Linked DNA regions of Callithrix jacchus. The protein of the gene in region 1 interacts with the protein of each later gene in a biochemical or structural test. Links are inferred from orthologs where the notes say so. Each region holds a gene or a part of one and is shown in the gene's direction. Other genes may lie near its edges.

Evidence for each region.
Region 2: the proteins of NSF (region 1) and NAPA form a complex in vitro, tested with the Homo sapiens proteins (2 studies listed by BioGRID). The link is inferred for Callithrix jacchus from reciprocal best matches to the Homo sapiens genes NSF and NAPA.

The regions. Positions count from the first base shown.
Region 1 is NC_133506.1:86,216,746-86,220,389, reverse strand, and holds part of NSF (vesicle-fusing ATPase), read left to right. Parts: intron 1-684; coding exon 685-819; intron 820-2,364; coding exon 2,365-2,478; intron 2,479-3,644.
Region 2 is NC_133523.1:41,452,770-41,456,843, reverse strand, and holds the start of NAPA (alpha-soluble NSF attachment protein), read left to right. Parts: upstream 1-1,268; 5' UTR 1,269-1,419; coding exon 1,420-1,517; intron 1,518-3,802; exon of another isoform or gene 3,803-3,918; intron 3,919-4,074. UniProt on the Homo sapiens protein: Required for vesicular transport between the endoplasmic reticulum and the Golgi apparatus. Together with GNA12 promotes CDH5 localization to plasma membrane.

The DNA.
Region 1 (3,644 bases):
TAGGGAAAACAGAAGTCTAAAACTAGTAATGTAACCTTATCATTTAAAGATAAAGAAGTAACTATAAGAAGAAAAGCTAAGAGAGTTGAAAATTGTTGCCTTTGGACAAAGGGAACTGCAAATGGGTAGCATAAGCCTGGCATAGTTTTAAAACTTTTTTTTTTAATATTTCAGGGTTAAAAGTAAAAAATGAAAAATATAAAATGTGACAATTATGGAAAACACTTTAGCCGACACCTTTCACAGTTAAGCGTTGCATAAACATCAACTATTATTGCCCTGCCCTCCTGAAAAGTGTACTAATGAAGCCAGCGCCACATACTTTCTATTCATGTCATCTTTTTTCCCCAATTCCCACCATACATGTGCCATGTCTCATGAAAGACTTACCTACATACATGTCAGTATCTTGCCCTTTGGTTTGTGTATCTCCCTGATTTGCTAATCCATTGTTTTATTGACATGAATGAGAAGGAGCTGTTCGCATGTTGCCACTTTCTGAATCATGTTGTTGGTACCTTTACTCAGAATTTTCAGGAAAATCCTGAGCTGTTTTGTTCTCTTTTGCCTAATCATTTGCATTTGCAAGATTAAATAAATGGCTTTTGCAAACTTTGTTCAAGCTTATTCTAGTTTCCTAATTAGTCTTATTATATACATTTTAACATTTCTCCCTTTGATCAGGGCCGGAAGCTTCTTATCATTGGGACCACAAGCCGCAAAGATGTCCTTCAGGAGATGGAAATGCTTAATGCTTTCAGCACCACCATTCATGTGCCCAACATTGCCACCGGAGAGCAGCTATTGGAAGCTTTGGAGGTGAAAATGAGTCAATACATTGCACACTGTTTATAAGAAAGAAATTGAGGCTGAATTGAGCTGTATCACAGTCATTACACCTGGTGTTTGGTTTTTACACTAATCTAGAACATGGGACCCAGGGATATTACAGATTGTGTATCCCTTATCCAAAATGCCTGGAACTAGGCTGGGCGTGGTGGCTCACACCTATAATCCCAGCACTTTGGGAGGCCAAGGCAGGTGGATCACTTGAGGTCAGGAGTCTGAGACCAGCCTGGCCAACATAATGAAACCTTGTCTCTACTAAAATACAAAAATTAGCCGGGCATGGTGGTGGGCACCCGTATTCCCAGCTACTCAAGGAGCTGAAGCAGGAGAATCGCTTGAACCTGGGAAGCAGAGGTTGCAGTGAGCCGAGATTGTGCCACTGCACTCCAGCCTGGGCAGGAGAGCAAGACTCTGTCTAACAACAACAACAAAAAGTGCCAAGGACCACAAGTGTTTTAAATTTCAGATTTTTTCAGATTTTGGAATATTGCATTATATTTAGGTTGAGCATCTCTAATCTGGACATCTGAAATGCTTCAGTGAGCATTTCCTTTGAATGGCATGTTGGCACTCAAAAAGTTTACAACTTTGCAGCATTTTAGACTTCAGATTTTTTGGATTAGGGATACTCAACCCATACCTCCAGTTGTTTTCAGGAATGAGAGGACACATGACAGTGAATTAATTTCCCATTCCTCGGGGTGGGCAGCCTACAAAATGCCAGGAGTGGATTGCTCTGTGTCCAGCATGAGTGATGCATGTAGATTACTTGGACCAGAAACTTGAGTGGGTGGCGGTGTGGGGGTGAGGCGATCACAGTATAGAGAAATTAATCATTCAGCGCAGCTTTCGGTGCATTTCCTTGCATTTGGTAAATTGGAACAATGATTAAAGCCTTAGAATTGTCAAAAAAAAGCTATAGAAGTAAAAAATAACAAGTTTAGAAATAGGAATGTTTTCTTAATTTTTTGAAAATGACAGTTATTTCTTTTAATATTCTTCATTTAATTTTTTAATACCAGTATTCACAAATGACTTGGTGAGCTCTATTGGCAAATACTATCTGCTGAGTTATTCAGCAGTGGTAGAGTCAGTAAGGCTTCTTAAAGTCCTCAAGGACCCCAACAAAAATAGAAATGTATCTATATGATAAACGTTTTCGGATTACCTGTTTAGGCAACTTTTGTGCAGGAGCCGGGTAAGAGAATTAAAGGTAGTTTGCTTTGACACATACAGATTGTTCCTAGAAAAGAATGTTAAAAATTTTAACATACTTATTATGGATTGGAGCTGTTTTTACCCCAGCATATATATCTCTAAGTTAGAATGGAGGTCCATAAGAAAACAGGGTTTAAGATACCAGTTTCACTTTTATGATTGACCCTAATGGGTTTAGGAAGGTCAGACTGGATTTTAACAGTTAGGTAGTTCTTATCACTCTTCTTTTAAAAGTAAATAGAATTAACCCTTGTTGATGCATTTATTGTAAAAGTGCTTTGATTATTGTTTTTGTAGCTTTTGGGCAACTTCAAGGATAAGGAGCGCACCACAATTGCACAGCAAGTCAAAGGGAAGAAGGTCTGGATAGGAATCAAGAAGTTACTAATGTTGATCGAGATGTCCTTACAGGTAAGGTACTTCCTTCTCCACATGACTCAGACAGAACAGAGCTTCAGGATACACCAAGAGCGTTCAGTATTTCCTTTGCCAAGGTTTTAGTTAATTGAAGTTATAATTTTCTTATATTATTTCCCAACTTGATTTGGTATTACCAACCTGCTTCTGAGATTGATCACTTATAAATACTTTTTAACTTCTTAAAATTCAACAATAGAAGGAAAGATCATAAAGTTAATTTTAATTTAGGGAGCCACTAGATCTTAGAACTAGAAAAGACTTCAAAGAGCAGTGTTTGTGCTGCCTCCTCATTTTGGAGATGAGGATACTATGTGTGTGACAGGTTGTCAGTGAATTCTCCAAGATCACATCGCCAGGTTATTGATGGAGAAGGGATGGTGTTGTACCTCAGAAGTCAGTAAGCGACCACACATACACCAAAAGATGTCTGGGAGACTGTTTTAAGGGACAAGTTAATTAAGTTGTGCAGTCTAGACTTGGGCTCTGTGTATATTTCCCTGGCTGGGCTCCTAGAAATTTCATGCAAACTACTGTAGGTTGAAGCATCTAGGATCACGTAGAAAACTGAGCCCCAGGCTGCTGCCTGGGCAAAGACAGATGAAACTTCTTTGGGACTTTCTCATGTCTCCTGGCAATGTACCTTTCCTCTTTTTGGAACTCCACCCCTCCATGTGCCCATCCTGTGTCTTCTTGTCCTTATCTGACATACAATTTAGCTGATAAATCTCTCCCTATCAAATCCTATGAGTTCAAAGACCTTGGCTCTCACTATTGAGTCTACAGCCCCTGGAACAAGCCAACACTTAGTAGGGTGCTCAGTAAACTTTTATTGTTATTATTATTATTATTTTGAGACAGGGTCTTGCTCTGTCTCCCAGGCTGGAGTGCAGTGGCATGATCACGGCTTATTGCAGCTTGAACCTCCCAGTCTCAAGTGATCCTTTCACCTCAGTCTCCCAAGTAGCTGGGACTGCAGTCACATGCTACCACACTTAACTAACTTTTGCATTTTTTGTAGAGACATGGTTTCACTATGCTGCCCAGGCTGGTCTTGAACTCCTGAGCTCAAGTGATCCATCTGCCTAAGACTCCCAAAGTGCTGGGGTCACAGGTATATGCCATCATGCCTGGACCTCAGTAAATTTTTTTTTTTTTTT
Region 2 (4,074 bases), on another chromosome or scaffold:
AAGTACTGGGATTATTGGTGTGACACAACGCGGCCACCAACAGTTTGGAGGAGTACTATGCAGATATTTTGGAGGATGTGGCTCAACTGGAATTTGTCTAGAGTGTTTTTTTTATGCTTAGATTGGAAGGTCCCGGAAGTAAAAACCCTTCTTTGTTTTTGTTTTGTGAGGCAGAGTCTCACTCTGTCTCCCAAGCTGGAGTGCAGTGGCACGATCTCGGTTCACTGCAACGTTTGCCTCCCGGGTTGAAACGACTCTCCTGCGTCAGCCTCCTGAGCACCACGCCCAGCTAATTTTTTGTATTTTTAGTAGAGATGGGGTTTCACCGTGATTAGCCAGGATAGTCTCGATTTCCTAACCTCGTGATCCACCCACCTTGGACTCCCAAAATGCTGGGATTATAGGCCTGAGCCCCCGCGCCTGGCCTATTTATTTATTTTTTGGGACGAAGTCTCACTCTGTCGTCCAGGTTAGAGCGCAGTGGCGCGATCTCGGCTCACTGCAACCTCTGCCTCCACAGTTCAAGTGATTCTCCTGCCTCAGCCTCCCGAGTAGCCAGGATTACAGGCGTGCACCACCATGCTGGGCTCCTATTTGTATTTTAGTAGAGACAGGGCTTTGACATGTTGGCCTGGCTGAAGTGATCCGCCCGCCTCGGCCTCCCAAAGTGCTGGGATTACAGGCGTGACCCACCGCGCCCGGCCCTCTTCAGCTACTTTTTCTGAAGCCAGAGAGTTAAAGGATCTCTAAAGTTTTTGTTTCCCGTCTCTGAACTACTTCACTGGTCTCCCCGAAGCAGTTCCAGTATTGGCCGGGAGAGGGAGCAAAAAAAAAAAGTAGTCCTGTTTCCTTTTCCTCCAAACGGCTTTCCCAGTGAAGAAACCCGCGAAACTAACCGAGGGGGCGGGACTAAGCTCTGCGCAGAGCCGTCAAATCCGGGCGTGGACCCCGAGCTGTCACGTGAGTGTCCGCGGTCAGCTGACTGCGCCGGACTTCCGCGGCGGGGGGCGCACAACGCGAGTCGAGGGCTTCTGCTGATTGGTGAAGGAGGATTCAGCTTCAGCACCGTGGGGCGGGGCCTCGGCGGTGCGAACTGCCATTGCCTTCCGCCGTTGCCTTCCGCAGGGGCACCGTTCGCGGGTGTGTGCGCATGCGTTGAGGTCTCGGGACGCCAATTGGGGGGTCTTGAGTCACTGGCGGCGTGCGGCAGGTTGGGGCGTGGTCGCCGGAGCGGGCGCCGCGCTACGAGGCCGCTGGTTGGCCAGCGCGAGTCACGTGGTTCCGGGCTGCAGCAGCGCGCACCGGTGCGACGTCAACGCAGCAGGTCGAGCTTTCCCGACCTGTTTTCCGCGGCCCGGCCGCGGCTGAGTCCTCCCAGGGTCGGGGTTGAGCGCCTTGTTGAGTCTCTTTGTAGTCGCCATGGACAATTCCGGGAAGGAAGCGGAGGCGATGGCGCTGTTGGCCGAGGCGGAGCGCAAAGTGAAGAACTCGCAGTCCTTCTTCTCCGGCCTCTTTGGGTGAGAACCGGGCTCAGGGGTCGGCCGGGACCTAGGGTGAGAGGACGAAGGAGTCACGGCCGGAGGCGGCGGGTTAGGCACGCAGGGCTCGGGCCGAGGGGACGGAGAGGAACCTGGAATGAGGTGATATGGTCTGAGGCGGCAGAGGGGACACAGACTGAGGGCCAAGGGCTCGGGCCGGGGCAACACGGTTTGAAGAGAGACGGTCTGACATGGCGGAAGGGACATGGGCTGAGGACACACGGGCCAAGGCGACACTGTCTTGAGGCGAGAAAGGGGACTCAGGCCAAAGACAGGCCAGGGGGCCGAGGGAGAACCTGGACCGAGGGAATACGTCCTGAAGCTTTGGAGGGGACTGGCCTGGGGGGGACGGAGGGAATCCGGGAGAGTAGGCAGGTCGGAGGCCTTTCGGAGCTCTAGGGGCATCTGTCTGAAGGCTCTCAGGCGGCGTGATGGGTCCTGGGACTGAGGACGCCCTGCCCGAGGGACTGACCTTTCCAGTCCCCCAGGGCAGTGGATTTGTGGGGGGTCCTGGGCAGTAAGGGTGATGGCTGAAGGAGGCTGACACCAGACGGAGGGTCTCGGGAATTTGGTGATCCTAGGAGTGGTGAAACACATCTGAAGTGTGTGTTGGGGGGTGCCTAGGTTGAGTCCGGCCCTGGTTAGCAGTGACTAAAGACAGCTGAACCAGGGAACCCGCATGATGGAGCCAAGAGTGAGGAGGTCCCAATACTTTGGGAAGCCGAGGTGGGCAAATCACTGAGGTCAGGAGTTGGAGACCAGCCTGACCAACGTAGTGAAAACCCTTCTCTGCTAAAAATACAAAAACTAGCTGGGCCTGGTGGCTGGTGCCTGTTATCCCAGCTACTCGGGAGGCTGATGCAGGAGAATCACTTGAACCCAGACGGCAGAGGTTGCAGTGAACCGACATCACACCGTTGCACTCCAGCCTGCGTGACAGTACGAGACTGACTCCATGTCAAAGAAAAACAAAAAGACTGAGGAGGCCTGGGTTGAGGCTAAAGACTCCTGGGTGGGGGAACACATGGTGGTGGCTTGGCCAAGGAGATGGAGGGGTAACAGGGCGAGACAGAGGGACAGAAAGAACCAAAACGGGGGATCAGAGGCCTGCTGTGTGATCCTCAAGTAATGGTGATGATGATGACAGGGACATGGTGAGAAGACGGATGGGAAGAGGCTTGGGAGACAGAACTAATGCATATGGCATGGCATAAAACTCGCATTCGCTCCTAAAAGCGACACAGCCATCCTCTGAGAAATTCTAGTGGCTTAGGAGTGTCAAGAGGCCAGGTTTGAAATGTGGCTCTGCCACTTCATGACCTTGGGTAAATTGTTCAGTCTCCCCATTAAAGGAGACCTCGAACCAAACCTACCTGCGATTTGCTGTATTAGGATTGAGCCTGGCATGGAGTTAACGTCTCTGAACATGTTAGCTGTTGTTAATGTGACTTTCCAGAAGGAACAGATTTGGAGCGTGCAGAGGGATGAGGGGTTCAAAGTTAGTGTGAGCGGAGAGGTCTGGGAGGGGTCAGAAGAGGGAGAGATGGAGAAGCATGAGTTTGCTAAGAGGAGCTGAAATAAAACACAAGAGGGACCCAGGAGGACTTAATAGGGTGGAGAGGCACATGAGACTCTGGGCAGAGGAAGTAGAAGGGAGCTGGGGAGGGTTTGGCAGGGGGTGGGAGGTGGGGAGTGAGATCTGCGCTGATGGGGGGTCCTGAAAGGATCAAGGGGAGGCTGTGGGAACAGAGAGGAGGCTTGGGAAAGGACTAGTGGGCTTGTAGAGAGGATGATGTGTGGTAGCCACTCAGAAGCAGAGCCTGGGGAAGGTGGTAGGACTGGGAGCGTCTGCAGAAGGCTGGAGAAGGGGGTTGGGGGGAGGGCCTGGGGATCGGAGGAGACCATGGTAGGAAGCTGGCAGAGGCTGGTAAGACACGAAGTGGAGGGATCTTTCCAAGAGAGGAAAGAACGGGAAAAGGCTCTGGGCCTCGCCCCTTGTTTGAGGTTGGATAATGTTTAGCAAAAGAACTTGAAGAACATGACCGGGAATTGCCTGGTGTGGGGAAACATCCGGGGCTGATGGACCATATTGATTAGGTGAAAAATGTTTTCTTTTAGAGGCTGAGAGGAGGGAGAGGGGGTATGTGTGTGTTTTCTTCATAAGGGGAGAAGTTCAAGTGCTGTGTTTGGGGGTGGGACCACGAGCTGGGTTTTTGGTGATGGTTTTCCTGGGTGGCTCTGAGTGTCTGTTCCCTTTGGCCCAGGGATTGGTGGGTACTGGACCGTGTGCTTGGAGGGAGCAGCTAAGTCAGCCCCAGGGCACTTGCTACCTGGTTGGGAAGGCAAGATGAACACCAAACACTAGTAAAGCAGAATTACGGTAAGGAAGGCCTCGATTATGTCATCCGTGTGAATGGCTGAGCTGAGAGGAAGCAGCGGGAGCTGCATGGAGGCTTCTGGTGAGGAGTGAGCTAGGCCCCAGGGAACGCCCAGGACTTGCTAAGGGAGTGGGGCCGGGGAGGGTGCTCTAGGCAGC